7 linked regions of the Macaca fascicularis genome follow. The protein of the gene in region 1 interacts with the protein of each later gene in a pairwise test. Links are inferred from orthologs where the notes say so. Each region holds a gene or a part of one and is shown in the gene's direction. Other genes may lie near its edges.

The links.
Region 2: the proteins of FLNA (region 1) and MYOZ1 interact in binary tests that used the Homo sapiens proteins (3 or more experiments, as listed by UniProt). The link is inferred for Macaca fascicularis from reciprocal best matches to the Homo sapiens genes FLNA and MYOZ1.
Region 3: the proteins of FLNA (region 1) and ADAMTSL4 interact in binary tests that used the Homo sapiens proteins (3 or more experiments, as listed by UniProt). The link is inferred for Macaca fascicularis from reciprocal best matches to the Homo sapiens genes FLNA and ADAMTSL4.
Region 4: the proteins of FLNA (region 1) and KLHL12 interact in binary tests that used the Homo sapiens proteins (3 or more experiments, as listed by UniProt). The two-hybrid records come from large-scale screens. The link is inferred for Macaca fascicularis from reciprocal best matches to the Homo sapiens genes FLNA and KLHL12.
Region 5: the proteins of FLNA (region 1) and CASR interact in a two-hybrid assay, tested with the Homo sapiens proteins (2 studies listed by BioGRID). The link is inferred for Macaca fascicularis from reciprocal best matches to the Homo sapiens genes FLNA and CASR.
Region 6: the proteins of FLNA (region 1) and HSPB7 interact in binary tests that used the Homo sapiens proteins (3 or more experiments, as listed by UniProt). The two-hybrid records come from large-scale screens. The link is inferred for Macaca fascicularis from reciprocal best matches to the Homo sapiens genes FLNA and HSPB7.
Region 7: the proteins of FLNA (region 1) and PELO interact in binary tests that used the Homo sapiens proteins (3 or more experiments, as listed by UniProt). The link is inferred for Macaca fascicularis from reciprocal best matches to the Homo sapiens genes FLNA and PELO.

Annotation. Positions count from the first base shown.
Region 1 is NC_088395.1:160,375,905-160,379,404, forward strand, and holds part of FLNA (filamin-A), read left to right. Parts: intron 1-215; coding exon 216-405; intron 406-564; coding exon 565-588; intron 589-2,736; coding exon 2,737-2,984; intron 2,985-3,097; coding exon 3,098-3,193; intron 3,194-3,325; coding exon 3,326-3,428; intron 3,429-3,500. UniProt on the Homo sapiens protein: Promotes orthogonal branching of actin filaments and links actin filaments to membrane glycoproteins. Anchors various transmembrane proteins to the actin cytoskeleton and serves as a scaffold for a wide range of cytoplasmic signaling proteins.
Region 2 is NC_088383.1:72,731,765-72,735,264, forward strand, and holds part of MYOZ1 (myozenin-1), read left to right. Parts: intron 1-629; coding exon 630-808; intron 809-3,500. UniProt on the Homo sapiens protein: Myozenins may serve as intracellular binding proteins involved in linking Z-disk proteins such as alpha-actinin, gamma-filamin, TCAP/telethonin, LDB3/ZASP and localizing calcineurin signaling to the sarcomere.
Region 3 is NC_088375.1:110,694,268-110,697,767, reverse strand, and holds part of ADAMTSL4 (ADAMTS-like protein 4), read left to right. Parts: intron 1-605; coding exon 606-810; intron 811-1,061; coding exon 1,062-1,234; intron 1,235-1,381; coding exon 1,382-1,493; intron 1,494-1,593; coding exon 1,594-1,779; intron 1,780-1,942; coding exon 1,943-2,072; intron 2,073-2,388; coding exon 2,389-2,593; intron 2,594-2,903; coding exon 2,904-3,080; intron 3,081-3,393; coding exon 3,394-3,500. UniProt on the Homo sapiens protein: Positive regulation of apoptosis. May facilitate FBN1 microfibril biogenesis.
Region 4 is NC_088375.1:60,671,869-60,675,368, reverse strand, and holds part of KLHL12 (kelch-like protein 12), read left to right. Parts: intron 1-617; coding exon 618-771; intron 772-2,445; coding exon 2,446-2,663; intron 2,664-3,500. UniProt on the Homo sapiens protein: Substrate-specific adapter of a BCR (BTB-CUL3-RBX1) E3 ubiquitin ligase complex that acts as a negative regulator of Wnt signaling pathway and ER-Golgi transport.
Region 5 is NC_088376.1:161,062,895-161,066,891, reverse strand, and holds the start of CASR (extracellular calcium-sensing receptor), read left to right. Parts: upstream 1-1,197; 5' UTR 1,198-1,681; intron 1,682-1,838; exon of another isoform or gene 1,839-2,047; intron 2,048-3,997. UniProt on the Homo sapiens protein: G-protein-coupled receptor that senses changes in the extracellular concentration of calcium ions and plays a key role in maintaining calcium homeostasis.
Region 6 is NC_088375.1:219,086,677-219,090,853, forward strand, and holds the start of HSPB7 (heat shock protein beta-7), read left to right. Parts: upstream 1-1,377; 5' UTR 1,378-1,456; coding exon 1,457-1,655; intron 1,656-2,198; coding exon 2,199-2,347; intron 2,348-3,655; coding exon 3,656-3,835; 3' UTR 3,836-4,177.
Region 7 is NC_088380.1:58,200,105-58,204,123, forward strand, and holds the start of PELO (protein pelota homolog), read left to right. Parts: upstream 1-1,219; 5' UTR 1,220-1,633; coding exon of another isoform or gene 1,634-1,694; intron 1,695-4,019. Other genes in the region: ITGA1 (integrin alpha-1), read left to right, coding at 1,634-1,694. UniProt on the Homo sapiens protein: Component of the Pelota-HBS1L complex, a complex that recognizes stalled ribosomes and triggers the No-Go Decay (NGD) pathway.

The DNA of each region.
Region 1 (3,500 bases):
CTGTGCCTATTGTCATGTGGGGAGTGTGGGATGTTTTAGTCTCCATTCTGGACTCTGCCAGGTGCAGGCAGCCCTTTGGGCCATAGCAGTTGAGAGGCCTGAGGCCCAGAGGCTGTCCCTGTAGCAGCCACGCTGGGCGCTTTCCAGGAGCGCCTGAGGCAGGCCTGGGGCTACTTGGTCTTGAGCCAGCTGCCTCCCCTGCCTCTGCCACACAGGATCCGGAAGGCAAGCCGAAGAAGACACACATCCAAGACAACCATGACGGCACGTATACAGTGGCCTATGTGCCAGATGTGACGGGTCGCTACACCATCCTCATCAAGTATGGTGGTGACGAGATCCCCTTCTCCCCGTACCGCGTGCGTGCCGTGCCCACCGGGGACGCCAGCAAGTGCACAGTCACAGGTGAGCCAGCCTGCCGTTGGCCGCTGCGGCACTCGGCACGGGGCTTGGGTTGTGCCTGTGTGCAAGGGCTCGCTGCTTGGGGCGGCGTGTGGGAGTGGGGGCTGCCCCCTTGAGTGACTCACCTGACCTTTCTCCTTGCTCTCTGCCTTCTCACCTCAGTGTCAATCGGAGGTCACGGGCTAGGTAAGCTGCTTGCTGGGGCCACTCCCAATGCCCCTCTTGTCCAGAGGGGCAACTTCCTTTCCTCTTGGAGCCGATTCCCAGGACAGTTCCAGCTGCAGCTCTAGGCAGGGACAGAGTTGGGGGGGGGGCGCAGAAGATGAGGCTGTGGGCTGGAGGGCGAGGGCCCAGGGAGGCTTCCGGAGCTGAGCATGACCGCTCCGGCTCTCCCCCTCTCTGGGCCTTTATTTCCCCATCTGAGAACTCGGGTTGCAGCTGAGAGCTTTGGGGTGAGGTGCATCCTGAGAGGCACCCCACTGGGGACTTTGGGGTCTCGGGATCTTGGCACCCAGGGAAGCACAAGGGTTCCTGTGTGGGCTGAGGGAACAAGGGGTCTCCCTGACTCAGTGGGAGCCCCAGCCCTGGCCAGATCCACAGACCCCCATCCCCACCTTCTAGGGGCCTCTGCGTCCCGGGCTGGGGGAGGTGCATGAGCGGGTGGGGCTGGCTGGTAGTGCAGTAGCGCCAGTATCGACTGCTTGGGCAGCCAGCATGGCGGGGCCCGGCCCAGCCTCAGAGCCCCAAAGTGCATTCTGTGACCCGTCTCCCTCCTTCCCCCTTCCCCCATCTCCCAGCAGTGACGTTATTCAGACATTACCCAACAGGCATGGAGGGTCACCTGCCCCAGCCAGGGACACCCGGGAATGCTGATGAGAGGCTACAGGCCTGGCATTTGGGCAAGGTGGCTAAGGAAAGGGTTAGAGGGTGGCTAGAGTTTTGCGGCAGGAGCGAGATGGCTTTATAGAACAGGCCGTAGGTAGGATCTGATGTGACAGGCGTGTGTGTGCAGGGCTGGGGAGGCTGGGGAGTGCTGATTGCAGGGCCTTGGGGGCTTTGGGGGTGGGAGCAAGACTCAGTAACCTCATTTCCCTGGCTATTGTTTGCAGAATGGAGACAGGGAGGGGGGCGGTGCTGAAGTTGCTCTCCGGCAAGCTTGGTGGCCAGGGGGCTTCAGTGAGAGCCAAATTAGGAGGCATACTTTGAGGATGGAGTGGCTCAGACCTGCGGATGGCCAGCCGGGAGCTGGGCAGGGAAAGTGGGGAGAGTTGGGTACCTGTGAGGTTGGGGTCCAAGACACTAACTAGATGTCATGGGGTGGGCATGAATGAAGCCTCCCAGGGCAGCGTGGGCAGCAGGCAGCCAGGTCTGGAGCTCGGGAGAGCTGCCTGGCCGCAGCAGGCCAGCATGGAGCCTAGTGCAGCAGGAGCCCTCGGCCGATAGCGGGACTTGGTGGCAGAGCCCCTCGAGCTTGGCCTTCAAGTGGGTTTCGTGTTCCTGGCTGCTTCCCTGGCAGGAGGCCAGGCTGCAGGGGACACTGTCACTGCCAGGCCTCACAGCCCACAGCCCCCCAAGCCTCCACGGCAGAGCTCCAGATCATAACGTCACTGTTCTCCCCTTTCCTCGGGCACTCTGGGGCCCTGGAGCCTGCTCAGCTGCTCTGCCCTTGCAACCCAGCAGTGGTGGCTGTAGCTTGGGCCTCCTGTTCCCTGTCTCCCTGGGTGCTGTCCCCGCTGTGCCAAGCCTGCTGCACTGCGCTACTCGGGTGCTAACCCCACTGCCTTCCGCTTCCCCGTTCCCACTCCTGCCTGCACCGGGCTGCTTTTCACCGCGAGCCTTCTCAGTTGTCAGGAAACTCTGGTCTCACCATCAGGCCTGGGGGGTGGGGAGGCAAGTGTCACGTCCCCCCACGCTGCAGCAGGACTCTGCCTCACCGCGTCCACACACAGCAATGGGGGCCGGGGCCAGGCCACAGGGGTGCAGGCAGCCGTGTACCCAGCCAGATGCTGACGTTCAGCAGTGTGGGCCGTGGTGCTGGATGAGGCTGAGTAGGCAAGGGAGTGGCTGTCAACACTTAGGCTGGAGTGGGCCCTTCCTTTTCCTCCCAGGCACCTGGGTGCTACCGTCGGGCCCCTCCCACACGGGCACTTGAGGTGGTCAAGAGAACCCTTCCTGCCTTCTGAGAAACCACTCGCCATCCCAGCTTGAGGGGCAAGGCCTGGCTGTGCTTGGTGGTGGCAATGAGAGGCCTGTGTGGGCAGCAGGCGGATGGGAACAACCTGAGCCCAAGCTCACACACTGGCCCCCCTTTGGGGACCCACCCTGCCCCACCAGGTGCTGGCATCGGCCCCACCATCCAGATTGGGGAGGAGACGGTGATCACCGTGGACACTAAGGCAGCAGGCAAAGGCAAAGTGACATGCACCGTGTGCACGCCTGATGGCTCAGAGGTAGATGTGGACGTGGTGGAGAATGAGGACGGCACTTTTGACATCTTCTACACGGCCCCCCAGCCGGGCAAATACATTATCTGTGTGCGCTTTGGTGGCGAGCACGTGCCCAACAGCCCCTTCCAAGTGACGGTGAGGAGGGGTGGGGGGTAGGTCAGCAGGGGCGTCTGGCAGGTCCTGGCCTGTTCCCCTGGGGCCCCTCTGTGACAACAGACTCTCCAGCAGCTCTCTGCTTTGCCCTGCAGGCTCTGGCTGGGGACCAGCCCTCGGTGCAGCCCCCGCTACGGTCTCAGCAGCTGGCCCCACAGTATACCTACGCCCAGGGCGGTCAGCAGACTTGGGTACGCCTAGCCAGCTAGGGACACTGGGGCTAGCCAGCTGGGTGTTCTGTGAGGCCCTATTTTATTATGTGTGAGGAGGGACCCCCAGATCTTCCCACGGCCCCTCACCCATGCCCTGTGTCTCCACTGCAGGCCCCAGAGAGGCCCCTGGTGGGTGTCAATGGGCTGGATATGACCAGCCTGAGGCCCTTTGACCTTGTCATCCCCTTCACCATCAAGAAGGGTGAGATCACAGGTGAGTGGGGACTAGGAAGGAGCTCGGGAGCCAAGGAGGCCAGATTGTGCCAATGAGCTGCCCTGACCTCAG
Region 2 (3,500 bases), on another chromosome or scaffold:
GCTCAGGAGTTTGAGAGCAGCCTGGCCAACATGGTGAAACCCCGTCTCTACCAAAAAATATAAAAATTAGCCAGGGATGGTGGTGCGGGCCTGCAATCCCAGCGACCCAAGAGGTTGAGGCAGGAGAATTGCTTGAACCTGGGAGACGGAGGCTGCAGTGAGCTGAGATCACGCTATTGCACTCTAGCCTGGGTGACAGAGCAAGACTCTGTCTCAAAACAATAAAAAATAATAATAATAAATAAAAAATATGTATATGTATGGCATCTGTATTTACACTCCACATAAGATTGGCCTCTGGGCTTTTCCTGATGCCATGCTTTCTCCAATGGCCTCCATCTATGATGTTCCTTTACTCCTTTTGCTCTGTACCCCATGCCCATGCCTCTTTTACCCCATTGGCCTCTCCACTCTAGTATTCCCATTATCTCCACAATGCACCCCAGTTCCCATGCATTCTCTCCAAGTCCCAGGAAATCAAAGTCCCTCACAAACTAGACAGCATTTGTTCCCCTAAATGATCTCTGCCAGGACACACATTCACACTTAGTTGTGGATGAGGTCTGCATTCTGAGCCCAGAAAACCCTACTTTCCTCTTTCCCTTGATTCTTCTTTGCCTCCCTGAAAGGTGGACAGGAGGGCTCAGGCTTGAACCTGGGCAAAAAGATCAGTGTCCCAAGGGATGTGATGTTGGAGGAACTGTCGCTGCTTACCAACCGGGGCTCCAAGATGTTCAAACTGCGGCAGATGAGGGTGGAGAAGTTTATTTATGAGAACCACCCTGATGTTTTCTCTGACAGCTCAATGGTAAGTCTGAAACTTTATCACCGTCTCAAAGCCTGGTGCCTGTTCTGACAGCTTGTTAGTAGGCCCTGAGCCTCCAAAATGCAGTCAACATCCCCTCCCTGGAAATTTATAAATTTGTTAAACTCCCAGATATATTGAGCCCTCAGCAGCTCCAGGGTGAGTTACAGCCCACCTCTGAAACCCAGTTTCCATCAAAGAGCCACTGAAGGATTGGAGAATACCACACCCTTAGGGAGAAAATTCCTTCCTAGTAAGGGTAAGTGTTAAAGATAGGTTGCCAGATAAAACACAGGATGCCCAGTGGGGCAGTCTTGTCTTGTATTTTGAAGTTGAGATACACAGTGAATAATTTTTTAGTAAAATATGCTCCATGCAATATTTGGGACATAAAGATAAAGTTTTAAAAATATTTTAGAAAGAACATAAGGCAGCCGGGCATGGTGGCTCTCACACCTGTAATCCCAGCACTTTGGGAGGCCAAGGCAGGTGGATCACCTGAGGTCTTTTGAGACCAGCCTGGCCAACATGGTGAAACCCCATCTCTACTAAAAATACAAAAAATTAGCTGGGCATGGTCGTGGGTGCCTGTGATCCCAGCTACTCAGGAGGCTGAGGTAGGAGAATCACTTGAACCCAGGAGGTGGAGTTGCAGTGAGCCCAGATTGTGCCATTGCACTCCAGCCTGGGCAACAAGAGTGAAACTCTGTCTCAAAAAAAAAAAAAAAAAAAGAAAGAAAAAAAAAAGAAGATAAGGCAAATAATTAAATTGAAATTTTAAAATACAGAATACCCAATTAAATTTGAGTTTCAAATGCACAATGAATTCTTTTTTAAATATGTCCCATGCAATATTTGGGACATTAAAATAAAAATACAGGATGTCCACTTAAATTTGAATTTCAGATGCAAATGAATAATTTTTTAGTATAAGTAAATCCCATGCAACATTTGGGGCATATCTATACTAAAAAAGTATTTGGGTCAAGTGTGATACCTCACACCTGTAATCCCAGCACTTTGGGATGCCAAGGCAGGAGGACTGCTTGAGTCCAGGAGTTGGAGACCAGCGTGGGCAACATGGCAAGACTCTGTCTCTACAAAAAATTAAAAAATTAAAAAGTTAGCTGGGTGTGGTGGCACACACCTGTAATCCAGCTACTCTGGAGGCTGAGGTGGGAGGATGGCTTGAGCCTGGGAGGTAGAGGCTGCATGAACATGAGCCATGTTCATGCCACTGCACTCCAGCCTGGGTGACAGAGACTCTGTCTCAAAAAAATATATATATTTGTTGTGCATCTGAAATTCAAATTTAATTGGTATCCTCTATATTATTTGCTAAATCTGGCAACCCTAGAAAGAGTTAATTGAGTTTCTACAGCCATCTCCCATTTAAGCCATTCTTTCATTTAAAGGGTCAGTCTATTCCCTAAGGAGCCCCAGGTGAGACTGAAACTGTCCTTCAAGATATATTCTAGTCAGGCTCCTTCTCCAAAGAAAGAGGAGACTGGAGAGAGGCCAGGCACAGGATGGTATAGCTGAGGAAGAGGGGCCTTCTCCATTTCCTTTCTTCCTTCTCCACTTTCTCTAAGTGTCTGGGGGAGAGTGGAATTAGATGCCTGCATGGGGCCGGGGGCAGAAGTGTCTGTCATTGGTCCTCATACAGGAGCAGAGTAAAAGTGCTGAGCTGCTCATATCTAACTTTAGGAAGCCAAAAGCCCTCTTCTCTGCCTGGGTCCGGTTACACTGGGTGGAGCATTGGGGTGTACATGGTGGGATGGCCAGGAGAGCCTCCTGAAGAAGTTGGTGGGGTTATTTTTAGGCTTTGGGTTTGAATCTAATGTTGCCCTTTTGGCCACCCTTCCCCCCACCTGCTACAGTTTCAGTCAGGAAGTCCTGGTCCAACAGGCACCAAGAGGAGAGAGGGAGAGAAAGAAGGAGAGAGAAGAGAGTTCTGACTGTTGGACAAGCTGAGGAAGGGAGGAGGCAGAAATTTCTCTAGTCCTTGTAATTAAGACTGGGTTCTCCATGGCAACCCCATCCTCCCAAATTCTAGTTGGGGCTGCGCACAGCTCATGCCTGTTATCTCAGCACTTTGGGAGGCTGAGGCAGATGGATCACTTGAGCCCAGGAGTTTGAGACCAGCCTGGGCACATGGCAAACCCTGTCTCTAGGAAAAAAAATTACAAAATTTAGCTGGGTATGGTGGCATGCTGGTAGTCCCAGCTACTTGGGAGGCTGAGGTGGGAGGATTGCCTGGGCCAGGGAGGTGGAGGTTGCAGTGGGCCAAGATTGTGCCACTGCACTCCAACCTGGGGTGACAGAGCCAGATTCTGTCTCAAAAAGCAAAATTTTTTTTTCATTTTTTTTTTTAAGTTGGGCAGGAATCTTGGTCTTTTTTGACTTGTTAAGGATGAGAAAGGGGAGCATGGAGAATGCCCTGCCCTTACCCTAGGTATAACTGGAGGAAACGAGCCAAGGGGGTCCTACCTCTTAAGAAGAGTTTAATTTAGGCCAGGTGAGGTGGCTCATGCCTGTAATCCCAGCACTTTGGGAGGCCGATGCAGGCGGATCCCCTGAGGTCGAGAGTTTGAGACCAGCCTGACCAACGTGGAGAAACCCTGTCTCTACTAAAAATACAAAATTAGCCAGGTGTGATGGTGCATGCCTGTAATCCCAGGTACTTGGGAGGCTG
Region 3 (3,500 bases), on another chromosome or scaffold:
CACATGCACACACACGTATTTGCACAGTCTCATTAATTTTTTTTTTTTTTGAGACGGAGTCTCGCTATGTCGCCCAGGGTGGAGTGCAGTGGCCGGATCTCAGCTCACTGCAAGCTCCGCCTCCCGGGTTTACGCCATTCTCCTGCCTCAGCCTCCCGAGTAGCCGGGACTACAGGCGCCCACCACCTCGCCCGGCTAGTTTTTTGTATTTTTTAGTAGAGACGGGGTTTCACCGTGTTAGCCAGTATGGTCTCGAACTCCTGACCTCGTGATCCGCCCGTCTTGGCCTCCCAAAGTGCTGGGATTACAGGCTTGAGCCACCGGGCCCGGCCTACAGTCTCATTAATTAATTCAACAACAAAACACTATACTGAGATAACCAAGGGAGAATTCTAACCTGCCAAGCTGGGCTGAGCAGAGCCTGAAGGATCTGATCGGGCACCTGTCCGTGTCCCTGGGTCTGACTGGGGACGGTGGGGCTGCTTTTGTGCTCTCACTTGTAGCACAAAAAGCAGGGTAGTGAGCTGAGGCTCCCGAGGGGACAGGGGTGGGGTTGAGGTGGTGTCTGGCATTCTGTGGCCGCTGCCTCACCTCACTCTCTCCAGAGCCCCGGCTGTGATGGGATCCTTGGCTCTGGCAGGCGTCCTGATGGCTGTGGAGTCTGTGGGGGTGATGATTCTACCTGTCGCCTTGTTTCGGGGAACCTCACTGACCGAGGGGGCCCCCTGGGCTATCAGAAGATCTTGTGGATTCCAGCGGGAGCCTCGCGGCTCCAGATTGCCCAGCTCCGGCCTAGCTCCAACTACCTGGGTGAGCACCCAGCTGCCTCCCTTTCACTTCCATGTCTGTTCAGCCCTCCATACCCCCACTCAGTGCAGTGAGCAAGCCAAACGGGGAAGTCCAGGGTCTGGCCCCTCCCCTTGTGGAAGGTGTGAGGAAGCTGAGAGGGCTTGGGGGGCTCTTAGGTTCTGGTGGGAGCTTCTATAGGCTGAGGACACAGTGTGGGAGGAGGAAAGTATTATCACCCTGGAATTTCCCAATCTCTCACCTCTGACCTGCAGCACTTCGTGGCCCTGGGGGCCGGTCCATCATCAATGGGAACTGGGCTGTGGATCCCCCTGGGTCCTACAGGGCCGGCGGGACCGTCTTTCGATATAACCGTCCTCCCAGGGAGGAGGGCAAAGGGGAGAGTCTGTCGGCTGAAGGCCCCACCACCCAGCCTGTGGATGTCTATGTGAGCCTGGGGCCAGGGGCAGCTGGATCCTGGGGAGGGAGGCTGTTCTCTCTAAGGGCAGAGCTGTGGTTGTCAAGATGGGAGATAGAGCTGGTGGCATCCCCCTCTGGCCACCCCCAAACATTCATTATCTTCTCTTCTCCCCAGATGATCTTTCAGGAGGAAAACCCAGGCGTATTTTATCAGTATGTCATCTCTTCATCTCCTCCAATCCTTGAGAACCCCACCTCAGAGCCCGCTGTCCCCCAGCTTCAGCCAGGTAAGACTCTGACCCCTGCACTTGGAAGGAGGAGGGAGAAGCTGCAGGGGTGGCTCTGGGGCAGTGGGGTGGCATCTGATTCACCTGCTCCCCTGCACAGAGATTCTGAGGGTGGAGCCCCCACTCGCTGTAGTGCCCCGCCCAGCCCGGACCCCAGGCACTCTCCAGCGCCAGGTGCGGATCCCCCAGATGCCCGCCCCGCCCCATCCCAGGACACCCCTGGGGTCTCCAGCTGCGTACTGGAAACGAGTGGGACACTCCGCATGCTCAGCGTCCTGTGGGAAAGGTGAGACATTGCACCTTGGACCAGCACCTCAGTCCAAGCCCCCCAACTGACACTCCTGATCCTGCATCCGGGATAGTGGGGCCACGCCCGACCCTGCATCTGGGACACCACTGAGCTTGGGCTCCAGCCTCCTGCCTCCCTGGCTGCCTTCTCACCCACTCAGGTGTCTGGCGCCCCATTTTCCTCTGCATCTCTCGTGAGTCGGGAGAGGAACTGGATGAACGCAGCTGTGCCGCGGGTGCCAGGCCCCCAGCCTCCCCTGAACCCTGCCACGGCGCCCCGTGCCCCCCATAGTGAGTATGGCCCACGGGGAGGGTTAGGGTACTGGAAACACAGCAGTTGCCCCCAGAATCTTACCTGAATTCTGCACTCAACGCGACATCTCCTGGCTGCAGAGAGACAACATTAGATTAGAAAGGCGGACATTCGGTAGGCAGCAAGAAAGCCATGGCAGGCTGAGCCCCCCAGGAACCCAGACTCCAAATGCCAAACGTGCCCACTCTCCTCTGAGGCCCCCATGTCCAATGTGTCTTCCATCTCCCCTGCCATGGCAGCCCCACATATCTCATCTGTGTCTCCATCTCTTCCGTGCCCTGCTGGTGCCTGCAGCTGGGAGGCTGGTGAGTGGACATCCTGCAGCCGCTCCTGTGGCCCTGGCACCCAGCACCGCCAGCTGCAATGCCGGCAGGAGTTTGGGGGGGGTGGCTCCTCGGTGCCCCCCGAGCGCTGTGGACATCTCCCCCGGCCCAACATCACCCAGTCTTGCCAGCTGCGCCTCTGTGGCCATTGGGAAGTTGGCTCTCCTTGGAGCCAGGTGAGTGCGCCCGGGCAAGGTGCCGGGGAGGGGATGGGCACCGGTGAACAAGAGCAGCGGTTTTTCAACTTCTTTTTCATCAGCAGAAACTATTTACAAACAGGGTTTCATATGGACCCCCAATATAGAAGTCAGATAAGGGACTGAATCAGGGATTGGGGGCCCGGGGCCCTAGGGCTCAGCCTCCTCCTCAGCCCATGAAACCATGTGACTGCTGGGCTGGGGATCGAAGGCAGAGCCTGGTTCTGAAGCCCTAGAGCTGGAGGCTGGCTGAGAAGCCCAGCTCCCTGGATTCCCCTCGCCCCCTCAGTGCTCCGTGCGGTGCGGCCGGGGCCAGAGAAGCCGGCAGGTTCGCTGTGTTGGGAACAATGGTGATGAAGTGAGTGAGCAGGAGTGCGCGTCAGGCCCCCCGCAGCCCCCCAGCAGAGAGGCCTGTGACATGGGGCCCTGTACTACCGCCTGGTTCCACAGCGACTGGAACTCCAAGGTGAGCCCCGAACCCCCAGCCATGTCCTGCATCCTGGGTGACCATGCCCAGGACACCTCAGCCTTTCCAGCACAGCTCAATAAACTTGTATTGATCAAGTGCCTGCTATATGCTTGACGCTGGGAACTCAGAGGTAAGTGAGAACAACTTCCATGAGGGGCCCAGTTAGGATTCCCCGTCCAGGCCTGGTACCTGGGGACGTTCCCTACCGCCCAGGATTCGGACCCAGGATGCATCCCTCCCTGCCCCCTCTCCTGTCCCTTGTGCCAGTCACCAGCAGGCCCCTCACGCAGGCCGCTCTCCTCCTCCGCAGTGCTCAGCCGAGTGTGGGACGGGAATCCAGCGGCGCTCTGTGGTCTGCCTTGGGAGTGGGGCAGCCCTCGGGCCAGGACAGGGAGAAGCAGGAGCAGGAACTGGGCA
Region 4 (3,500 bases), on another chromosome or scaffold:
GGCTAGTTTTTTGTATTTTTTAGTAGAGACGGGGTTTCACCGTGTTAGCCAGGATGGTCTCGATCTCCTGACCTCGTGATCCGCCCGTCTGGGCCTCCCAAAGTGCTGGGATTACAGGCTTGAGCCACCGCGCCCGGCCCATATTTGCTTTATTAAAATCCAACAAAATAGAGCATACTTTTGTTTTTTTATTTTCTTACTTTTTTATTTTTTTGAAAGAGTCTCACTCTGGTGCCCAGGCTGGAGTGCAGTGGCATGATCTTGGCTCACTGCAACCTCTGCCTCCTGGGTTGAAGCAGTTCTCCTGCCTCAGCCTCCTGAGTAGCTGGGACTACAGGCATGTGCCACCATGCCCGACTAAGTTTTGTATTTCTAGTGGAGATGGGGTTTCACCATGTTGGCCAGGCTGAACTTGAATTCCTGACCTCAGGTGATCTGCCTGCCTTGGCCTCTCAAAGTGCTGGGATAACAGGCGTGAGCCACCATGCCTGGCCTATAATTTTTAAAGATATATGTTCAATTAATGTTACTAACATCTCTAAGCTCTTAGGTATGAGATTCTGCCTTTATCTTGTAGAATTATAACCATCATTCTTTTTTACCTTTCAAATTTTCAGCTTTCAGAGAAGGGGAAACCTTATGTTGACATCCAAGGTTTGACTGCCTCTACCATGGAAATTTTATTGGACTTTGTGTACACAGAAACAGTACATGTGACAGTGGAGAATGTACAAGAACTGCTTCCTGCAGCCTGTCTGCTTCAGTTGAAAGGTACAGACATTAAAACTTGGTATTATTTATGTTGAAATAGCCCTGGAAAGATTGAAAATTAATAGTGTAAACTTAATCATGAACATTTTGGAGACAAACTATGGATGCTTATGTTTACTAGCCATGGCTTTTGTCTCATTGAGCAATAAGAGATCAGATGTCAATAGCACTATAAAGGAACTTCTCCAGATATGAGTATTTGGCACTATAAAAGAGAGCATTTGCACCTTTTCTGTTTTAAAAAAAAAAATGTAGGAAGGAGAAATTATGTGTTTTCTTACATACATGTATATAACACACCTATAAGGAACTATAATAAAAACTGATACTATACATAATCTACATGGATACTCTTTATCTGGCCATTAAGTGGTAGTATTTCATTAAGATAAATGAAATTTAAATTGATGCACAAAATATTAAAGTATGTTTTCACAGGATTACAGGTGGTTTGTTTTCCCTTACAGTTCCCAGGTTTTTTAGACTTCTTATTTTGTTTTTGAGACAAGAGTCTCACTCTGTCACCTAGATTAGAGCACAGTGGTACAATCACAGCTCACTGTATCCTTGAATTCTTGGGCTCAAGCAATTCTCCCACCTCAGCATCCTGAGTAACTGGGACCACAGGCACATGCCACCACACCCAGCTAATTTAAAAAAAAATTTTTTTGGCCGGGTGCGGTGGCTCAAACCTGTAATCCCAGCACTTTGGGAGGCCGAGACGGGCGAATCACGAGGTCAGGAGATCGAGACCATCCTGGTTAACACGGTGAAACCCCATCTCTACTAAAAAACACAAAAAACTAGCCGGGCGAGGTGGCGGGCGCCTGTAGTCCCAGCTACTCGGGAGGCTGAGGCAGGAGAATGGCGTAAACCCGGGAGGTGGAGCTTGCAGTGAGCTGAGATCCGGCCACTGCACTCCAGCCTGGGTGACAGAGCGAGACTCCGTCTCAAAAAAAAAAAAAAAATTTTTTTTTGTGGAGACGGGTTCTCTCTGTGTCGCTCAGGCTGGTCTCAAGTTTGTGGACTCTAGTGATCCTCCCACCTTGCTTCCCAGAGTGCTGGGATTATAGGCATGAGCCACCATTCCTGGTCCTCAGTTTTTTCTTTTTAAAATTCAGTTATGTTTTTGGTTTTTATATATACATAATTGATACATTTTTAGTTTTTAATACATGGTTTAAACAGTGTGAAGCTTTTGCATTAGTGCATAGTCATAAAATTAAAATACCCTGAACTTTTCAATTAGATGAATATGAGATTTGTTATTATCTTCTGCTTTTCTTTCACTCTAGTCTTTTAGTAAGTTTTCATGTAGAGTAGAAAAATGGGTACATTATGCTGAATTAGTAATTAGTTTTATAGTTTGATTCCCAAGAGTTTTGTAGGCATTTTTGTTGAATTTTGCCAGGTCCCTGGATGTGATTCATCTTGCAATATTCACTTTAAAGATTAAACAGAGACAGGTGTAAAGGTCTTGCTGAAAGTGGCGCAGTACATAAGCCAGAAATAGGGTTTTAAGTTCCTTAAGCAAAGAATTTCTCATCTGTTTCTTAGGTGTTGAAACAAGGGTTCATCTGATAACATGTAGAGAAGATGTTGAGATACAAGAATATAGACTAGATCACACCCGTCCAACTGTTCTAAAGTGTTTGCTTCCTGTGTCCGTCCTAGGTGTGAAACAAGCCTGCTGTGAGTTCTTAGAAAGTCAGTTGGACCCTTCTAATTGCCTGGGCATTAGGGATTTTGCAGAAACCCACAATTGTGTTGACCTGATGCAAGCAGCTGAGGTTTTTAGCCAGAAACATTTTCCTGAAGTGGTACAGCATGAAGAGTTCATTCTTCTGAGTCAAGGAGAGGTGGAAAAACTAATCAAGTGCGATGAAATTCAGGTACAGATTTGTCTTGATGTTATGGTTTCTTCAAGATTGGGCAGTTACAAAACTTGCAAAGTAGGATGCAGTTACTTACCATTAGGGCTTCATAATCAAGTGTGTATTTTGGCTCAAAGATTTCATTAACCCCTCCTGTACCAAATTTATTTGCATTTTTATGGAGTGGGAGTTTGCCACTTTCTTCAATTAGATATATGATCCGAGTGGGTAAGAATCACTATTAAACAGAGTATAGAATAAGCAGAAATTGGAAGTAAAGTAGATATCTGTAGACCACTTCTCTGTTACCCATTCACTCATTTCACAAACATTTACTGAGAATATCTACTATGTAGCAATTACTATGCCAGGTGCTACAGATCCCCAAATGGGTAAATATAGTTCTTGCTTTCAAAAAATTCACAACCTGCTAGTAGAGACAGAGATATAGACTATATATATGTATATAAAAAATAAAGAGGATAATAAGAATAATGAGCCTATACAAAGTAAGGACATTACGTAGAAGAAAGAAGAATAAACCTTTGCTCAGGAGTGGATCAAAAATGAAGAGACAAAAGTTTGGAAGTGAGGATCTACAGAAGCAGGAGCCAAATCATAACTGTCTTGTGAGGGCGCAGGGGATGGAAGGAAGGGACACGCAAACTGGATGTTAAAGGAATAGTAGGCCAGGCACAGTGACCTGTACCTGTAATCCCAGCACTTTGGGAGGCTGAGGCAGGAGAACTTCTTGAGGCAAGGAGTTTGATACTAGCCTGGGCAACATGACAAAACCTTGTCTCTACAAAAAAATAAAATTAGCCTGGCATGGTGGTGAGCACCTGTGGTCCCAGC
Region 5 (3,997 bases), on another chromosome or scaffold:
AGCAATAATAGATCTTCAGAGTAATGCTTTCTTAAAGATAGTGCCCAGATTTGGACATTATGCCCAGGTGTAACCTGACCATTGAAGAGGATAAGTTCAGCCTAAGATTGCAGCCTCATTCAGGTTTTGAACTGAACTCATTCAGCCTTTGGGTGTTCACAAGGTTGTGCTTGTAGCCAACTAAAATAAAATCTAAGGTATTTTGATGTAGAGCACTACTGAGCCACATCCCCCATTACCAACTTGTATTGCTAGGTGTTTCGGCCTGAGGGAGGACTTCACGTTTATTCCTATTAACTAGATTTTCCTCCTTCCCTGGTTCTTTGGCATTTGCTCAGCTCCTTCTCCTACGCTGTATTTGAGGGAAAGGAAGCCAAATGGGTAGAATTGGGCCATAATGAGGATGTGTTTGACATGCTGGATTTGAGTCTGTGTTCCATTGAAGAAAAGAAATGGAAACTTTGTTGAGTATCCATTCTGTACTAGGCACTTTCCTTGACTATTTCATTGAACACTCCAAGGACCCCTTGAGGTAGATGTTATGGCCGATTTGCAGAGAAGAAATCTGCATTTTTATTTGAAGTTATTAAACATGGGTAAATGACCCAATTTTCTGCTTTTTGCTTAACAATAATTTGCAAACATTTTATCATGTTACTTCATGTTTCCCTTTTTTTCTTTATAAATAAATACATACTCCCTCCTTATTCTAAAAAGAATTTGAAGCACTTCTGTCTTGATGTTTATCATTTTAACGGTTGTATAATATCCCATTAAGTCACCCTAATTTACTCAACCAGTTTCCTACTGTTGACAGTTTGGCTCTGTTTACTTTTTGTGGTTTTCAAATTTTTTTTCTGTAGTAAATGATCCTCCTAAAAAACATCTCCGCATGAATGTTATTTTGTTCTGGAAATTTCCCCAAGCATGGAATACTGCATTAAAGGGGATATTTTTGGTGTTTCTTTATAGAGACTAGCAAATTGCCCACCCAAAGGAGTATGCTTTATTTGAGGGTAAAAAGCCAAACACACACACACACACACGCAAATGGTTTTCTACAAAAGAAATTAATTTTCCACTTATTCATAAAATATTCTAGTGCTGTGATGGGTGGCAGGCACCTTGCCAGGGGCTAGGGACAAGGATAAGCAAGGCCAGGTCGGGGCCTCCAAGCAGCGAGCTGTGGAGTCGGGTAGAACAGGCGCCTGGCTGCAGCCAGGGAGGATCGCGCGCCCTTTCGCGCAGGAGAGTGGAAGCAGGGAGCTGTTTGTCAGCACCGAGGTAACGCTTGACCTGAGTCTTGCACAATAAGTAAGAGTTTGGGCACGCGATTTGTATTTATTTTATTGTGAATCTCTGGCCTTATATCAGAAAAAAAAAAAAAAAATTGTGCCACCCTCGGCACAGAGAACGTTGGTGGCGTCGTAAGCCCTCTAAGTCTCTTTCCATCGCCAAGGAGTAGGGGTCCGGGAAGAGGACCTCCCCGACAGCAGGCAGCAGGAACAGGATTTGGGAGCCGGGAACCCCTGGCTCGGCACGGAAGAGGGCAGGAGAGGACCTGAGCGCGGGGCTCACCGTCTGCTGGGGACCCGAGCCGGCGTGTGGCCCTCGGGGAACGGAAGACGCGCCCTCAGCGACCCTGAAGAGTCAGCTAAGCTATCTGCGGGCTAAGGAGACGGTGAGGGAACGGGGACTAACTGGGGTGGGGGTTAGAGGGCAGCTCGCGAGTGGGCTCCAAGGGGAGCTGGGCTCAGCAGTCCGGGACCCCGAGGGGGCAAGCGGGCGGGGAGCACGAGAGGGGCGGAGCTCCGGGGCCAGGGCCGCCGCGGCTGCCCAGAGGGTCTGCGGGGGCTGCTGCGGCCGGTCCCGAAGGCGGGCGCAGGGAGTGCAGTGAGCCATGCGCACCTCTCCGAGACCGTGACCTTCGCATAGGGAGCAGGGTCCGCGCGCCGTCCTGAGATCAGACACAAGCCCAGCCTCGTGAAGACCCACGGCCGAGGGGCTGGAGCTGCCTCTGTGCGAGGGAGCCCTGGCCAAGGCGCTGGTAGGACCAGGGAACCCGAGGAGGGCGGGCGGAAAGCGCCCCCAGTGGGGGAGGGGCCGTGGCGGGGTCTGGGGGCCAAGGGCTCGGGGCCGAACGAGGGGCACACGCCGGAGCAGCTCCAGCCTGGGAGCATTGGGCGTGAACGTGGGGGAAAGTAGGGACCACATTATAGGATCAAGGCTTTCCCCGGCTCAGAACTGGACTGTTCAGTGTCCCCTAGAAGGGGCAGCGGGTCACCTACGCCAATGAACGGGAGTGCACACCAAAACGCCTGCTGTCGGTAGTTTCTTGTGCCTCTGCCTTGCTTCTGCCTGTGATGTAGTCAGAAAGGACTCGCTCTCCATGTGTTAACAAGGGGACAGGTAGCTTCACAGAGTGTATGAATATGGAGGGGAGGGCCACGGCGTCAGCTCTGGCCCCAGGGGCCGTCAGTGTCCCTGCAGAATTCCTGGTCCAAGCCGCCAGAATTCCTTGGGGACTTTGCTTCAGTGGCATCAAATTAGACTGTCAGTTCCCGGGGCCTGATCACCAGCCTCCGTATGTATTTCCTGGGGAGAAAAAGCATACCAGACTGATGGAGTCTTATCATTATTTTAACATTATAGCTTTCAATAGATAACATGCATATATTTATTTTTTAAGTCAAATAATACAAACATTTATCTTCTAGAGGCACTGCCTGCACTAGCATGTGTCTATTGCTATCTCCTTTCTATACTCATAGCCTTTCACACTCTACATGTTCTGTCGCCGTCTTTTGATTCTTTAGCCAGAAAATGATGTCACCACCACTGCCCACATCCTTTAATCTCCAGTGTTCCTTCTCGCAACGCCTATCTTGTCCTCAAATGTTTTTCACAAGGTGTTCCTCAGGGTAGGGAGCCCACTAACGAGAAGACATTTCATTTACTTGCTTCAACTATCCCAGAGATCTGAAGAAAAGGCACATTGGGGAACAGTCCATGACAAGTTCTAAACACACCTATCTTTCCCCTTAAACTGGATCTTCCAAGTGCAGTTTAGGTAGTCTGTTATTGAGAGGAAATAATGCAGGCTGTTTTCTGAAATGCTCTGGATTTCCAGAACTTAACACCACAGCAGTTCCTATTCCTTAAAACAGAACTTCATCAGTCACACCTTGCTGTTGCTTTTCCCGTCTCCACTCCAGGATCCCCTAACTGGTCTGCCTAGGATTTTTTCCTCTGTAGGAACCTGGGACACCGGGTGCTTTATACCTGCCTGGGAGGTGTTCCATGAAGGGCCTGAGGGACAAAGCTTTGTGGTGGACAAGGTGGGAGGGGAAGATGTAGGGGAAGTTGGAGGGGAAGTAGAAAGGAAGAAGCAGGCCAAGACCCTTGAGTGCAGAAGACTCCTCAAGCACAGAGCCCTGTCATTTAGGAACAGTCCCCATATAATTTGCTAAGAGACCACACATGCAGGTTACTTCCTGCCAACAATCAGTACAGTCAGCTCTGTTTCAAGACTTCTATGTTAGGCCAAAACATAGTAAGTGAAAACAATCAGCAAATCAACCAGTTTTTGTCTCTATGATAAAACAGAGTGGTTGAAACTAAATTAATTTAAAAAATTTTTTTACTGAATTAGCGGGTTCTTTAGGAGCTGTGTCCATTGTTTAAAATCACCTAATAGGTACTCCAGTCTCCACATTTTTCCTTTATTTTGTTTATCTTTTCATATTGCATAACCTTGAACTGGATCCCAACCATGTCAGAAAGTTCAGGCTGATTAGAAGCTGCCGCTTCTAAGACTTTTTGGTGGGAGAGAGTGGGGAGGAGAGGATGAGAAAATAATGACTGATCCTTGTGATAGGGTAGGTGTATAATGAAGAGGAAGAAGTTGACTACAAGTTTGAGACTGGTGAGGAGTCGCATATAATTCTTAAGGTAACAGGGGAATGAGTAAGAAGTAAACAAAATTGTTCATCATTCA
Region 6 (4,177 bases), on another chromosome or scaffold:
GGAAGAAGGGACACAGCAGAGAGTCACAGCACACAGGAAGACCATGTCACACTGCCAGGTGCTGTGGGAGGACTAAGACAGTCAGTGCTGGGGGCATCTGGACCGGGTGTGGGCCCATGTGAGCAGGAGCAGTCAGAGAGGCCTCCCTGTGGGAGGAGGCATTGGAGCTGATCTGGGACGGTAGGGCCGGACGGGAGAGGAGAGCAGAGGCCCTGAACTGCAACCTGGGCAGAGCAGAGGGCCTGGCTGCCTCTCAGAATGGCCTCCACCCTGGCCCAGCGCAAGGTCAGTCCTGGCTTTGCTGAGCAAGCAGGTGGGTAGGGAGGGGCTTCTCTGGCTCTTCCGGGCCAGCCTGTCTCCATAGGCGTATGTTCAAACCACCTCAGCCTCTGAAGGGCTTTGGGTCCAACACACCTGGGTTCGAATCCCAGCCCTGCCACTTATGCAAGTGCGAGCTCCGCCCTTTCCAAGAGGCTTCACTTCCCCCTCCATAACATGGGAAGAGCGCCTCCACCCTCCCAGCTGTGCGGGGATCAAACGGGGCCACACTTAGACAGCTTGCAGCCAGGAGCCTGTGCCCAGAAGGCACTCCAGAAGTCAGGGCTAGAATAATTGTCTTCCAGAATTCTCTTTTACCTCTGACTGAAATCCCACCTAAGGCAGTCGCAGGCATCACCTCTGACACAGGGTGGAGCAGACAGCTGTCAGGAACATGACCTTCTAGACCTTTAAGGAGAAAGCTGCCGGCTTTGTCCTCTTGGGGCCTCTACATGTTCTGAGAGTCAGAGGGAGTGCAGGTATAGAATCCAGGTCCCCGTAGGGGCTGGCAGGGGACAGCTGCACATTCTACACCCCCTGGCAGGGCTCAACCTTTCCTTAGAGATGGGCTGTGAAGCTTGTCTGCCTTGAGGGAAGGAACTCCTGACGTCACACAGCAGTGGTGCTTCCACCTACCCCGTCCCCAAGGAGCCTGCACGCTGATGGGGGAGGCACAGCCATGGAGGAGAACCAGAGTCTCGTGGGGAGGCACAGTCCTCAGGAGCCCCCAGGCCGATGGGGGAAACAAAACACACAAGAAACCCCAAACTTGCAAGGTTCTGGGGCAGGCACCGAGGTCCAAGTGGCAAGGAGACAGGATCCAGCCCTGTGCAGTGGTGGGGAGGCCCCTGGGGCTGCTGTGGCCGGCCTGGAATGTCAGGCTGTGAGCTCAGCCCTCTCGGCCTGCGTGTGTCGGGCTGTCAGCAGGGCCGGCGCACGGGAGAAGATTTCCAGCCCCCTCTGGGCCATGGAGAGGCCTAAATTTAGCTAGTAGACAAGGGGCTGGCCCCAAGCCCAGGGACAGTCGGCCTTATAAAGCGGCCGCAGTCGGGGCCCGGCACGCTCTCCCGAGGCCTGTGCCCACACCCTCTCTTGTCCAGCCCTTGCCCGCCTGGGCAGGGCCCGGCGCCGCCCGTGGATGAGCCACAGGACCTCTTCCACCTTCCGAGCGGAGAGAAGTTTCCATTCCTCCTCCTCTTCCTCCTCCTCTTCCACCTCTTCCTCGGCCTCCCGTGCCCTCCCGGCCCAGGACCCACCCATGGAGAAGGCCCTGAGCATGTTTTCCGATGACTTTGGCAGCTTCATGCGGCCACACTCGGAGCCCCTGGCCTTCCCAGGCAAGTGATCCGGGCCCTGAGGGGAGGGGAGGCGCACAGGGAGGGGACATCTGCTCCAGGGCGCCACGGAACAGGCTGTGGCTGCCGGTCCGCCTGGAACAGGTGCTGCACAGCCTGCAGCCATGTGTGGCCACCAAGACAGATGTGGCCACAGGGACAGATGTGGCCATGAAAACAGGTGGGCCTCTAAGGAACAGTCGTGGCCCCGGGGGTTGGACATGGTTCCATGGCCACCCATGCTCTGGAACCGCAGCCAGTCCCAGCTGGAGCCCTGGAGGGCCGGACGGGGTGAGGGGTGGGAGGCAGTCCCCAGGCTCCAGGCCTGGGGTGGGGTTGTTACAGATCTAGCCTCATATACACACACACTGTGTCGGGTGAGGTCCCACCCCCACCCCAGAAAAGGTGGGCTGTAGGAATGAGGAGGAGCTTAGGGAGAAACAGCTCAGGGGGAGGTAGAGCCTGGGGGAGCCGCCCCTTGCCCCAAGAGAAGGAGCCGGAACCCCCGGATCTGCACACAAGGCCTGCTCCATGCCTCACTCACAGCAGCCCACCCCACAGCCCGCCCCGGGGCGCCAGGCAACATCAAGACCCTTGGAGACGCCTATGAGTTTGCAGTGGATGTGAGGGACTTCTCGCCTGAAGACATCATTGTCACCACCTCCAACAACCACATCGAGGTGCGGGCTGAGAAGGTGAGCCCCCCCCCACACCCACCGCAGACCAAATTCGCTCCCAGCTCCAATGCCTCCTACTCCCCCTTCCCATCCTGGGACTCCAGATCCTGGCCAGTGTCCCTTCCCCACCCAAACACCCCCAGGGCTAATTGAAGGCCTTGTGCCTGTAGCCCACGGCCATGGGTCCCCTCACTGCCTCTCTTTGCACCAGGGTTCCCAGATCCTTTCTTCCAGGGCCCTGGGCAGCTGAGGGAGCCTCTGGGGAATGGGAGAGGGACGGAGAGATGTGGGCAGAGGGAGCCTGAGGTGGGGGGGCTTGAAGGTGGGAGATGACGGGCGTGAGATGGTGATGGCAGAGTGAGGACAGCTCCTCTGGTAGCTGTAGAGGGTGGATGCGGGTAGCTGGGGAACTCACCTGGTCTGTGGGGGAGGGGTTTCTCCATGTGACACACCTCAAGCCCTCTTCCCTCCCATAGCCAGAGCTCCATCCCCCATCTTGGGACTCCTAAATTAGGCCCAAGGCTGGGCAGGGACCCTGCAGTTTAGGGTCACACACACTCCAAACCACACACACCGTCTGCCCACAGGTCTCAGGGTCACTGGGTCTCTAGGGTGTCTGAGTCCGAACTTGGAAGAGGCACTGGGGCCTCCACCCTGGGGAGGGCATGGCCAGGCCTGAAGAGGGGCGTTGTCCAGGAACAGCCACGGCTGCCAGGAGAGAGGAGAGGACCTGCCCCAGGCCTCCTCCTAAGCCCCCAGGGGCTGGCTTCCTCCCTTCCACATTCAAGGGTGGACTCCTGGGCATCCCTGCCAGGGATGCCATGGACTGGGGGCACCAGGACCCGTGGGCAGCACGTGCCAGCCCTGCCACCCCCAACAGTGACTCAGCCGCCCCTAACTCCCCTGGACACGATGTGCTGGCTGAGTTGTGGGGGAGGGGCCATGCTCAGCTCCGGCGGGCAGATGCCCAATGTGTCTGGGGATCCAGGAAGGCACGGCTCTCCTCTGTCATCTCTGCGTTCCCCACGAGCCCCAGATGCTGAGCCGCTGCCATGGAGCCGCCTCTCTCTCTAAGCCCCACCTCTTCCCCATGCCCCTTGCCTGTCCCTTAGAACTACTGGAGCTCCGTGGAGCACCCCTGTGCTGTCCCTGCAGAGCCCTCGGCCTGTGGCCATCACCACCCTGGGCAGCCCCTCCACACCTGAGGGCAGAGCCCCTCAGCATGTGGGGCCTGGCTGCGGTTAGAATAGGGAGAAGAGGGCTGTAGCTTGTCACAAGCAGGACAGGGACCGGGGCAGCCTGCCTGATGGGTCACCCCTTCCCCAGCTGGCGGCTGACGGCACCGTCATGAACACCTTCGCTCACAAGTGCCAGCTGCCGGAAGACGTGGACCCAACGTCGGTGACCTCAGCTCTGCGGGAGGACGGCAGCCTCACCATCCGGGCACGGCGTCACCCGCATACAGAACACGTCCAGCAGACCTTCCGGACGGAGATCAAAATCTGAGGGCCTCTCCCTTCCCTTTCCCTGTCCCCCTGCCCCACGCCTGCCAGCAAAGCCTTCCTAACCCCATTACAACAGCCCCAGGACATCTCAGCCCAGGTTCCAGCCCCAACGCTCCCCAGACCCCAGGTGGACCATCCTCCCAAACTAGGGCCCTCCACTCTATCCAGAGCAGGCCAGGGACTCCCTGTCCTGCCCAGATTTCAGATATGGCCTCCCCCACTTAATCCAGAGTACAGGGGCTGGGGTCAGGGAAGGAAGATCTAAAGAACCCGTGGTGGGTAAGGGGAATGGGACCAGCAGGACACCTGGGCAAGCTCTGCAGGACAGACAGACAGAAAAACC
Region 7 (4,019 bases), on another chromosome or scaffold:
TTTAATGTATTCACTAAATAGTGAATCAGTTCAGATACATAATAGAAAAGGAATTTCTTGACTAATGGGTCAACATACTGAGATCTGATGGCCTTCAACTTCCTTGGGTCTGCCCACCCCATTTTTGACCCTCCTTAAACTTCTTCAGCTTTTGTCTTCTCCAGCTTTTAGTTGCTGCGATCCTCTAACTGGCAGTGTATCCAGTGATCCCTGTGGGTTTCTTCCTTCCTGTCCCTCGTGTTACCTGTTCTGTGCTACCTGTGTTGTGTTCTGCTCAACGAACCCTCCTTTGGGTGGCACTCTTGTCCTGCCTAGCCCTAGTTCTGTTAGATAGAGATGCTCAATTAGTTGTTGAGTTGAAGTGAATTGAATTGAACTGTTCCCCTCAGATTCCTCTAAACACAAATCCACTCATCTTTTCTGTTCTTTGAAACTCTCCAAACCGCTAAGACACAGCTATTTTGAAAATAGCAAGCATTGGTTGAAGTTAGCACGAATATGGCTTTTGACTCAGCCAGGTTGTTCAACTCACCAGGAAAGGGAAGCATTGCTACTTCCTAAGCAGGTCTGGACTCTTAACGAATTTTTACTCGTAAAAGTTTCAAGCAAGAAAAAAATAAAGCAGTGCCCCGAGTTCTTTATTAGATTCAATTACCAGTGTACAAACATCCTAATTCACTTAAACAAAATAGCCCACACACATTCCATTTCAAAAGAGGCTGCTTTTCTTCCTCTCTTCTCTTCTCTCTCTCCCTCTTTCTGTTTTTCCTCGGTCTTGCTTCTCCTTTTCTTCCTTTATCATAGTTATCTCAAAGAAAAGCTTATCTGCAACCACCGTTTAACCACGAATTACCATAAACTAAGCAAAGCCTCCCCACACCCCGGCTCCCAATAAGCGAAAGCAAAGCCCTCAGTGGAGCCTGTCGGGGTGGTAGGGACGCCCCCTTTCGTGCAAAACGACTTCACGGTGAAGTTCAAGTGTCCGCAGGAGATGGAAGGGGGGATTCCAGATCCTCTCATTTTCACAGACGGCCTAATCCCTCTGCGTAATGGACCTCGGAAAGCTGCCTCCCGTTAAGGGCGCCCAGGTACTGCCAAAGCTCCTTCGCTACCCGGACCGGGAGAAGTCAGGGGTGTGAAGGCGGAGCCACTTGGCTGGCGACACCCTCCCGAAGTCCAGCCCTTACCCGCCTTCCTACCACCTTAGGGGATTTGGCCCGGAGAACGAGATCACCCTCTCAATGAAAGGCAGATGTCCCTTTAAGGTTTGCTTCTACAGCCCGTGGACTTTAGCCTAAACACGGACCCGCGAAGCTGGCTTTATTTGTCCATGTCTCGGACAGAGCCTGGGAAGCTGCCAGTGAGATTTCAGAGATCAAGAGCGCGCAGGGGCGGGCGATGTGGCAATCCGTCTGGGATGTGAAAAGCGTGGAGCGCACTTAGAGGCATTCGACGAAAACACAGGAAATCACTCCTCTCCCGCTCCTGGACGCCGCTGCCACTGGGGCAGAGGACTGGGAACCGCGGCAGCGGGCTGAGTGGCCCGGCCAGAGCGCGCAGCTCCCGCGCCCGGTCCTGCCAGGTCCTGTCCTGCGAACCAGCGCGGCCCCCTGGCGCTGAGGCCGCTCCGGCCATGGCCCCTCGGCCCCGCGCCCGCCCAGGGGTCGCTGTCGCCTGCTGCTGGCTCCTCACTGGTGAGCAACTCGCTTTTCTCTGAGCATCTCCGATTCGCGGGCTTGGGGCTTGGAGCGGGGAGGGAGGTCCTCAGAGCCATGGGCCAGATAGGAGAGAGTGCCCTTCCACTTTCGGGCACTCCAGGCTACGGAGCAGGCAGGAGTTTCGCGTTCTGGTTTTGATGTGAGTTAGTCTTGGTGTCTCTCCAAAGTCCTTCACCCTAGGAGTAGGAGTGAAGCAGCACTGAAAACTTACAAAGTAGAATTGACTTTTAAAATTAAAGTTGTTTTTACAATACACATTGTATTTTAGGACTTCGCTGAATATTTCCTCCCCTCCACCCTTTTTTATGGCATGGGATGAGAGGGTGATGCTTATAGGGCGCCTGATACATACGCAAAATTCCTACCCTCGGGTTGTTCCAGAGTGGACATTATTGAATTTTCTTGCTGTCTACTATTCAGACTTTTTTCCCATGCAGAACAAGAAAAAACAGGGATGCAAGGCAAAACTGCCACTTGTTCCAAAATGATGTTTCTATGTCAGCATCCAAGAGGAGGGATATTTTGAAACGTAGAAAGGAATGGTGAACATTTTCTCTGTCAATATCACAGTGCAGTCTACTTTTAAGATGCAAAATATACTATTGTTATTTGTACATAAATGTGTATTTTTAAGGAGGGGACTTAAAAACATAGTGGAAATGCAAAGTTGTATCCAATTTAGGAAAAGGTCGAAATATAGTATTTTCTAAGATTTTCCCAATAATTAACTCATGGTCAGATCTTTTTTACCAGTTACTGATTGGGATGGTGGGAAGTTGAAATGGTGAAAAATGGAAGGAGGTGGGGGGAAAGTATCGATAGAATCTCTGTGTGAAAGAAAATCATCTTTTTAATGGGATAATTAACAGCTGGCTTTAACATATCATTGATATTCAATTGTTCCGTGTTTTTACTGCTGGCATGGTTATTAGTACTAGTTAATTTAGCATTTTTACCATTAAAAACAAGGTAGAGCCAGCCAGTTTAGACCTGCCTTAGATGTCCAAGCATTGTTAACTTTTATGAAGATCATTTAGAAGTTGATTATCAGCAAGCAAAGCTTTTTTCAGAAGGGAGGTGATGTAAAGAGAGTTAATAATGAGCTACTGGCTTTTCATCCAAACATTTCCCACTACTCAGGAAATGTCCAATAATCCAAACAGTGGCAACTGCTGAACAGCATTATAGCCAGTGAGTAGTTTAACTTACCAGCTACTGCCACTACTCTTTACACATACTTAACCTATGAGTCTTCTCCAACTGAATTGTTTTTAGATTGTATTTTGTTGTTTTTGTGCAAAATCTGAATACAGTAGTTTACTAACTATTTGAGTTGTACCTATTTCATTCTACCAAATAAGCAGTCTCTAGAGTAGAAATGATGAAATGAGGTTTGCATATCCTCTAAAAAGACAAGAGTGAAACTTGATGTAACAGAGAAGTTTAGCAAGTTACAATTTCATATATATGTTGGTGAAATATACATTGGTGAATCCAGGAAGAGACTTAAAATATTTAGAACCCTTGTGTGTTTTATGCCCATTTCACAACACATGAGGCATCTGAAATTGGACTGCTTTCCTTTGCTGATTCCCCATCAGTCATTATATTCTGTAGGCTCTTCTTTAGCAATCTCTTTCAGATTTGGAAACTTCTTATCAATTAACAGAGTCCATTTGTAACCTGGGTACTAATCACCATACTTATCCATGCACACCACTGTAGAGCTTATCTTTCTGTCTTCAGTCTGAACCCAACTTCTAGTCTACCCTCCTAATACATCATTTTCATTATATCTGTTTTTAGTAAAAAATCTTTGGTGGTTCTTTGTTGGCTTTAAGATAATATCCAAAATTCTCAACTGACTGCCCTAATCCAACACGCTTTCTCTATCTCCTATGTCAGTTTCTTATTGCTGTTGTAACAACTTGCCACAGATCACCACCTTAAAACAACATAAATTTACTATTGTACAATTCTGTAGGTCAGAAATCTCACTGGGCTAGAATCAAGATGTCACTAGGGCTGCATTTCTTCTGGAGGTTCTAGGGGAAAGTCAGTTTCTCTGTTTTCATCAGCCTCTGGCCACCACCTGCATTCTTGGCCTGTGGCCCCTTTCTCCATCTTCAACCCAGCAGGGTAGAATCTTCAGCTCTTCCCCTGTGATTCTGCTTTATCATCATATCTCTTTCTCTGACTCTGACCCTACTACCTTCCTAAGGATCCTTTGTAATTACAATGCGCCTAACAGAATAATCTCATCATCTCAAGATCTTTAATTTAATTACATCTTCCAAGTCC